Kluyveromyces lactis: one gene and its partner. The protein of the gene in region 2 interacts with the protein of the main gene of each other region in a pairwise test. Links are inferred from orthologs where the notes say so. Each region holds a gene or a part of one and is shown on either strand. Other genes may lie near its edges.

What was found.
Region 1: the proteins of CIA1 (region 2) and MET18 interact in binary tests that used the Saccharomyces cerevisiae proteins (3 or more experiments, as listed by UniProt). The link is inferred for Kluyveromyces lactis from reciprocal best matches to the Saccharomyces cerevisiae genes CIA1 and MET18.

The regions. Positions count from the first base shown.
Region 1 is NC_006042.1:441,199-446,126, reverse strand, and holds the start of MET18 (Met18p), read left to right. Parts: upstream 1-1,931; coding exon 1,932-4,928. Other genes in the region: TAO3 (Tao3p), read right to left, coding at 1-1,454. UniProt on the Saccharomyces cerevisiae protein: Key component of the cytosolic iron-sulfur protein assembly (CIA) machinery that mediates the incorporation of iron-sulfur cluster into apoproteins specifically involved in DNA metabolism and genomic integrity.
Region 2 is NC_006041.1:1,944,097-1,948,024, reverse strand, and holds CIA1 (iron-sulfur cluster assembly protein CIA1), read left to right. Parts: upstream 1-2,158; coding exon 2,159-3,160; downstream 3,161-3,928. Other genes in the region: tryptophan--tRNA ligase MSW1, read right to left, coding at 1-529; CYC2 (oxidoreductase), read right to left, coding at 762-1,835; SNAP receptor PEP12, read right to left, coding at 3,265-3,928. UniProt on the Saccharomyces cerevisiae protein: Essential component of the cytosolic iron-sulfur (Fe/S) protein assembly machinery. Required for the maturation of extramitochondrial Fe/S proteins.

The DNA.
Region 1 (4,928 bases), on a different chromosome or scaffold from region 2:
TCTATCCACGTTGGATGATTAGCCTCTGCTGTCATTGCTCCAGCCAACGGCAATAAAAGTTGACTTAGTACTTCAGCATAAGCCAAACGAATAGAAGTGTTTTGGGACGGAGCAAAGAACTTCGAAATAGATTTGATGAACCCTGCACTTTCCTCAAACATTTCTAGAGGATAGTTTTTAAGCCTCAAATAACGCATTCCTAGGATTAAAAGGTGCACAGAGGGCTCTTGATCACGGGGAACTTTGGGAGGGATTTTTTCGAGATCTGCTATAAATTTATCACTGACAGAGATAAACTTTTTTTCACTCATCCAGCCTAATAATTCCGCGAACGAGTTCCAATTTGCTGATTTAATTAGCGTTGAAGACAGTGATGATGGATCGGTAGTCTTCAATTGTGTGAAAACGATACCTTCAAGCTTCGTACTTAACTCATCATCAAAGTCCATAGGATTCTGCTTGACAATCTCGATCAAAACACGACACAAAATATAAATGGTAATAAGAGATTTTCTATCGGCCTGGAAAGCCATTTCTTTTGTTCTCTCTACCTGGTTCTCTAATGATGCAAATTTGGGATCTGAATGAGAATTCAGGCTTGTAGAGGACTTTGATGAGGTATTTCTTCTATGTGTCAACCTGCTGCTAGCTGAGCTAGATGATTTTGAGTGAGTTCGACTAGCTGCCAGAACTTGCTCATTATTCTTCACATACTGCTCATATTCTTGCATGATTTTATCCAGTTTTTCCGCTGCTAAAGCAGCTACTTCAGACTTTGTCTTCCTCCAAAACATCATTGCATCTATTACCGGTTTCGCATTTTTCTTGGAAATGAAACCCAACGATTCTATAATTTTGTCAAATTCTATATCCTTGCCTTCTCCTAAAATTTCTATAATTGGAGGTTCCGTCTCTCTCGGATATTGTAAACATATATTAAGCTTCATCTCGGCAAATCTTACGAACTTTGTGAAAAGAATGTGTAATGCGTATTCAGACGGACTTTTCCAGTCAGTTGCCGATTTCTGTCTTAATCCGGCAACGTATTCATCGGGGAATGAGGATGTACTATTAGCAGATGCAGGATCAGGTCTTGGTTGCTGAGATACCTCGTTGATGCTGTAATTTATATTGTTTGTAATTTTGTTCGACAGGTTATCTCCCGGCTTGTTCAATTGCAATGCATTGATATGGAATTGTTCTGGGGTCACACCATTAGGATCTACCGGTGGAATGTCTATGATATTCAGTGTCTGTTGAGGATAATCTGTATTGCTATGTTGCACAGCCCCCTGGTCAATCTGGGTGGAAGGATACTGTTGTTGCTTTTCAACCTCTACTTGGTTCACATTCTCACTTGGAAACTTAAAATCATTACCCATATCATCAGAAAGTAAGGTACCATGTGCCCTGTTTTCTTTCCCCACTGGAGGAAACATAAACCCAGAGTTCATGTCCAATTGTAAGTTGTGGATATCTGGCAGTATTGGACCTTTCTTATTATGATTTAAAACAATTGGAAAGCGAATTTTCGTGACAATAGGCCTTTTGATAAAAGCACAATTCAACCCAAATTCTCGTATTCCATAAACCTTGGGAACACGATCAATTATGAATAACGATCTCTTACCGCGTAGACAGCAATTCTTTCTTCCACTCCCTTATGCAGATCATTTCATCGTCATCTCCTACTGTTAACTTCACTGAATTGTTATTCTTGATCTGGTCACATGATACGGAGTGTTCCGGGTAATCAAATAATTAAGCCTAATCGGAAGCATTGCACATATCAAAATCGTAATGTGGAATAAAACCCAACCTTAGTCAACAAGAACGAGTAAGAACTCAACGAGTTATTTAGTGCTTTAGCATTCGATAAACTTGTCATTGAAGACCGCCCTATCACTGTAAAATATTTATATCGTACCATAATGGCGACAGACTATACAGAAGATAAATTGAAAGCAGACATTGTCAGTTTTATGGCTAATGCAAAGGTTAATACTTCTGTGGCAGACAAATTGGCCAATACGATCGCTGATGAGGTAACTCGAAAGAGCATTGAATTGTTACGAATTGTAATATTTTTACGAGAGTACTTAACCTCTGATGACGATAGCACCAGACAAAATGCATTGAGCTGTTTATCTTGTATATTGGAACACATTTCACCAGCGGTACTAAAGAAGAATGATGTTTCAGTGATATTCGATTTCTACCAAAGTAAGATGGAAGATTCAGGCTGCATGAAAGAAACACTACAAGGGATCAACTCATTAGTACTAATGGACTGTTTTTACGTTAGTCACGTCGAAAAGCTGTTAAAACTTTTAGGAAATGACTATCAACCTACTAACTTTTTGGCTGCGACTAGATATTTCGGATTCAGGATTATGGATAATATACTTATCAAATTCAAATCCCAGATGTTGGGCAATCTCAAATTGAATGACTTATATATCGAAACTTTTATTCTTGTTGCAACTGGTGAGAAAGATCCTAGAAATCTTCTCATATCTTTCCGTTTGAATTCTGATATTAGCACCGGTTTACGCAACATTGACAGTTTCAAGGAGGAATTATTTGATATATTATTCTGCTACTTCCCAATCATGTTCAAACCCCCAAGTAATGATCCATACAAAATTACCAATAATGATTTGAAACTAGCCTTGAGAAGTGCCATCACTGCCACGGAAAAGTTTGAGGAGGATGCTTTTGGGAACCTCTTAGATAAATTGGCAGCATCGTCACCAACTGTTAAAAATGATACTATACTGACCCTCAAAGCATGTGTGGATACATTCAGTGGAACATCATCTTTGAAACACTGGCTGCCAATTTGGGATGCCCTAAAGTTTGAAATTTTAAATGGCACAGACCCGGAACCTTCAATCCTCGATACTGCAATGGATACAGAAAACCAAAACTCGAGACCAGAAGGAAATATTAGTAACTACTCGGATTCGCTCTCTATTATAACTTCATTATCTTCGAAACTCATCGCACTAGATGAACATGCATTTGATAAATTTTTTAATCATATATTTGATGAGTTTGTTCCAAATTTTGAACAAGATAAGGATTTAAAACAGTGTTGTGACCTGCTCGCTTCAATTTCTAAAGTGAGCTTGCAAACATTTAATAAAGTCATGAAAAAAGTGATTCCAGTGCTTTTCATGGATAAAGACTTAGATGCTTCTAAACAGAAACTCTTGATTCTCAATTTGGCGCCATTTTTTAGCGCTTATATTTCACTCTTTGGCGAGACCGGTAAAGAGATTTCCAAATTCCATGCTAAGAATGAATTACAAAATCACAAAGACAGCATATTAATGGTTTTCAGCAAGGCATTAACTGGTACATCCAAAAATGAAGTTACCCTGAGGACGCTTGCTATCATACAATTCACCACACTAGTTAAAATGTCAGGTTTTTTGGATAGCGAGGAAATAGCGATGATTGTCCAATATTTCACCGAAACAATTTTGACTGACGAGAATAAGAATATATACTGCGCATGCTTGGAGGGTCTCAAGTTTATCAGTGTGTTCAATGAATCCATTATTTATGAAGTCTCTTTGAAGTACATGTTACATCTACTTCCTGATAATGAAAACATGGTTCCAATCACATTGAATAACACTGATATAGTCCCAATAGAGCGAGTTTTGAAGGTCATTCTCGATTTCACTACTTCAAGGCACCATTTGGTCAAAGAAAGTATTGTTGGTCTTGCTTCGAAATTAAACCTCATTGTAATGCATCCAAATTGCAGCGATTATTGTTTTTTGATTTTGTCATGTCTTTTTTCCCTTTTGCAGAATAACATTGATGAATTCGACCAGAACGTTGTGCAATTCTTGAAGGAATCGATGGAAGAGACATTTTTACAAAACTCTTTGAAAAATGATATGATATACCTTGATGACCACTCCTTGAGCCTTGCGGCTGGAGTTTTATTTCAGCTTAACATAAAATCTGATGTCTCAACCCATCAAAGTGAACTTATTACCTATAATAAATGTTTCTTGGATGAAGAAAGAATTTTTGATTCTGCTCAAAGATCTATTGTGATTTACTCCAGGCTTTTGGCAGCTTTGGATAAGAATACATCTTTTGAAGCCGCGAATGATATATTTTCAAAAGCCATTGAACTCATTAAGAATAATGAAGCTCTCCCAACTTTCGAATCTCTAAATTACTTGGAGTTCTTGGCGCTATTATCAAATAAATGGGTTACAGAATCTTACATAGAAAGCGTGCTGGACCTAACTGACACATCTATTAAGAATCTTGAAATAATATGCTGGATTAACAAAGGTTTGGTCATGAAAAATTCAGTTCTTGCAACAAAATTGACGGATCATCTATTTTCTCTTTTAAGTGACGAGAAGTTTGGCAATAAGGTTGCTCACCTCTTTGAAGTTTTAGTTCTTGACCTTCTAATTTTTCAAAGATTTAAAAAGGTGTCATGGAATAACAATATTCGATTAATTTACAAGCAGAAGTTTTTCAATCACATTGCACAAAAAATGGTAAACGCCTTCAAATCTTCTGATAATATGACCATTAAATCGAATTATCTTACCGCAGTTTCTTTAGTTTTAAAGAATACTCCATCAAATATCACCATATCGTATATCACGGACTTGTTACCTCTTCTTCTTCAGGCTCTTGAACTAGAGAATATCGAAGTCAGAATATCATCTCTAGAGACACTAAAAAATACTGTGAATCAAATGTCTCAGTTGGTTACTGAACATGTCCATTCGTTAGTTCCGCTGTTACTTAACTTATTGGTCCCATCGAAATATAGTAACGTGAACGTAAGATTTCTGTCATTAGAAATTCTTCAGACTTTAACAACCAGTGTTCCCCTTAACTACTTGATCCCCATGAAGAATGAAATTATATCAAAACTTCAA
Region 2 (3,928 bases):
CAGGGTATGAAAACAAACCCAGTTTAATAGCTCCAAGAGCAGCATCATCAGACTGGTCGTTTATATTTGATTTGGATTTCCATTGCGTCATTCTATTCAACGAACCCATGGATGCAAGAGAAGATAGTAACCAATGCAATTCTGTATGTTGACTCACCCTAGATTGGTGGAATACAATAGCTTTTTCTGGATCTATCCCAATTGATAAAATAGAAGCAATAGCCTCTATCCTGTAATTTCGAAACTCTTTAGCATTGGGCTTCGGTACGGTGATGGCATGAAGATCCGCAGTTCCAAATAGTAGAGTCGTTCCATCGTCCTTTAAATCGGTAATATCTTTCCAGACCCTCACAGCACCAAGGTAATTACCTAAATGGAACTTGCCAGTAGGTTGAATTAAACTGAATATTGTGGCATTCTTGGGCAGATCCGATTCCCTCAATTTGAATCCAGTCGTTTTAACCGAACTATTGAATCTCTTGAAAAGAATACGACTTTTATTTCTAACAAGTTGAGAACTTGCAAGCATGACAAGATATTTGCTGTAAACCTAAAAACTGCTTGTCTCAGTAATCACAATAGTAGCTACACAGCAGGAAAGTGGAGGTTACACATGTTCCATGTGTTATCTATGTATATATTCTGTGATCTAAGTTGTATTTGTGTGGTTTCGTTATATCTGAAAAAATGTCCGATACAGCTGACATGATGGTATTTACAGTGTTCTATCAAATGAGAAGAGTTTATGTACGAGTCAAAGGTCACGACAACTTATATACGTTTGAATTATCCCAACCACGAGCAGCTAGTATTCCTTTGATTGGGCCTTGTACCAAATCGTACTTTGGCCCTGAAACCGTGGAAATAAATCCACCTGGACCGCATACAAGAGAGAGAACTGGCCTCACTTTTGAGTCTAACGAGGTAAACGGCTCATTACCACCGTATGGATAAGGAGAAGGTATTCCTTCCATGGCAGGATCAGATTGCAAAGGAATCGAAATCCGGTTACTCTCATGTGTATGTAATTCGATTCTGTCGTTATCTTGAAGTTTTGTTAGAATACTATTCAACGGCCCTAATTCGGTAAGTGATTTACAACTATGATAAGCACCAATCTTACCTCTGAATGGTGACTCAGTTAAAGTCATTTGTAATAAAGGAACGATACCTGTGCCTCCAGTAAAGAACAATATATCGAATGGTTGGTACTTGTAATTGTCTTTGACACAATCTTCATTCCCCCATAAGAACGATCTATCTCTCGTGATCTCATCGGCAGTATCAGGGAATTCATATTCTACAAACGGTCCACGCAGCTCAAGTACATGTCCCAAAGGTAGATGGTTAATCCAACGAGCCACTTCTCCCTGTTTATACTGTTTAATGTAGAAAGTTAATGCGCCGCTGGCGTTTTCCTCATCTCGAAGTACTTCAACGGCTCCGTTTTCTTCGATTGTCAGAGGCAGAGGTGTGTAGCTTCTAACAACCATAATCTCTGGCTGTTTAACTTCGACTGACCAGAGTTTTGAAGAGTTCATTTCTTTCCAAAGATTAACCTTCTGTGCTTTCAAAGGTGTCAATTCGATCAAATAGTGATCCTGATCAATGGAATACTTCTTGCTGATTTTGTACTTCGAGAAGTAATCCCTTGATAACTCCCTTTGATATAAACTCTCCTTGTAGTAGTTCCATGATAGCGCACCGATTGCAACAGAGCCAGACAGTAGCAGAACTGTTTTCAATAGCGAAGAAGACTTACCAGCAGAAGGTTGAGGTAGAGTTGTTTTCGATGACGACGATAATCTTTTGATGCTTCCAAGTAACAATTTCATCTTATAAGATTCTGATGTCGTGTATTCACAGGTTAGAATCGCCTTTTGGCGTATCAAAGGAGAGTATCAATTATTGAAGAACCACACTAATGACTTTCCAGGTCAATTATGCCAGTGTTATCATTCATATGTATCGATTCTTTATGCATGAGTCTTCCTTGCAATATCTGAAAAGATTTGAAATATAAGAACTTATAATAATTAAGACAAAGAGATCCAAACTTATGATAGTAGCCATATGCATAACACACTTGGTGTTTTATTGATAATCCAAAGAACAAGGATACCTGCAATTAGTATAAGTGCCGTATTAGAACTGAACGATGGCTGGGTTGAAGTTATTGAAGTCGCTTGCATTGCATGATGATAAGTGCTGGAGCGTCGACGTTAATAATGGTGGAATTATGGCAACTGGAAGTACCGACAGAAAGATTAAACTAGTTGATATACGTTCTTTTCAAATTATCGAGGAATTGGATGATACTGCACATAAGAAGACTGTTAGAAGTGTTGCGTGGAGGCCTCATTCTAATATCTTGGCTGCTGGTTCGTTTGATTCCACTGTATCGATTTGGGGCAAGGACGATGATGGATACAACGATGAGAATGATCTGGAAACGGAGTTATTAGCCATTATAGAGGGTCATGAGAATGAAATTAAATGTGTGGCATGGTCTCATGATGGTGAATTATTAGCTACTTGTTCGAGGGATAAGAGCGTTTGGATTTGGGAAGCTGATGAAATGGGCGAAGAGTTCGAATGTATCAGTGTTCTACAAGAACATTCACAAGATGTAAAGCACGTAATATGGCATCAATCGCTTCCCTTATTGGCATCCAGTTCCTATGATGACACGGTGCGTATTTGGAAGGATTGTGATGATGATTGGGAATGTTGTGCTGTACTTAACGGGCATGAAGGGACTGTGTGGTCTTCAGATTTCGAGAAATCTAATTCCAACGTCAGGCTATGCAGTGGTAGCGATGATGGGACCGTCAGAATATGGTGTCTCGAAGATGATAACGGAGAATACGAGCAAGAATGGATCCAAGAATCAATTCTACCGAAGGCTCATACAAGGGCAGTCTACAGTGTTAACTGGAGTCCTAAGGGGTATATTGCTAGTACCGGTTCTGACGGACGTCTAGTTATATACAAGGAATCGGAAGATGGCTGGATAGTTGAGTGCATTCACGAATTAACACACGGAGTTTATGAAACAAATATGGTGAAATGGGTAGAGTATGGCTCTAAAGATGTCATCTTATTGATAACTGCTGGTGACGACGGTCATGTTAACGTATGGAAATTCGATGAGAATTAGCTTCTTTGCCGGACTTTATCAATATCTGATTTGTAACCTAGTATAACCTGCATAAAAATTACATAAAATGGAGGCATCCATGACGCCTCATGAATACCATTCATTCAACTGAAAACAGCCAGTATTGTGAGAAGAAGGAAAAACAATAGTATGAAAAGGAAATGTAGTTTTAGCTTACTTGAACTGCGTCCGGATCTCATAGCGCGAGATAACTCATTTGCTGCATTTCTGGTATTATCTTCTACATTGTACAAATTAGCTTCAATGCTATCTACTAGCTGCCCTTGCTGTTGCACTAAACCACCTAAGTCCTTGAATATGCCATTTAATTCCGTTATACCTTGTTCTATGTTTGATATCTCTTGGTCTCGTTCCCTGATCAGATGTTGCTGGTATGCAAATTCCTCATTATTTATTGGTTCTCGCTCTATAACCACCTGTGTTCTTTTTGCGTGTTCATCTTCTTCCTCTCTTAAAACAGTATCCATCAAGGAATTATTTTGTTCTTCATCTTCCAAAGCCACTTTGGCCATGTCATTTATCCGCTTTGTAACTTCAAGAAAATGTTGTTGATATTTCTTGAATTCCTGTACAGAGAATTTCGCATCCCTAGTCAACTTCTCCCTTGTGATCAAATGAGGCTTATCCAAAGCCGACTCCTCTAACTCATTAACTTTATGAATATTCTCGTTTATCGATGATACTAATTTTGTACTTTTGTCTATTAGTTCAACCGTCTTCTTATTGATATTGTCGATAACTTTAGTG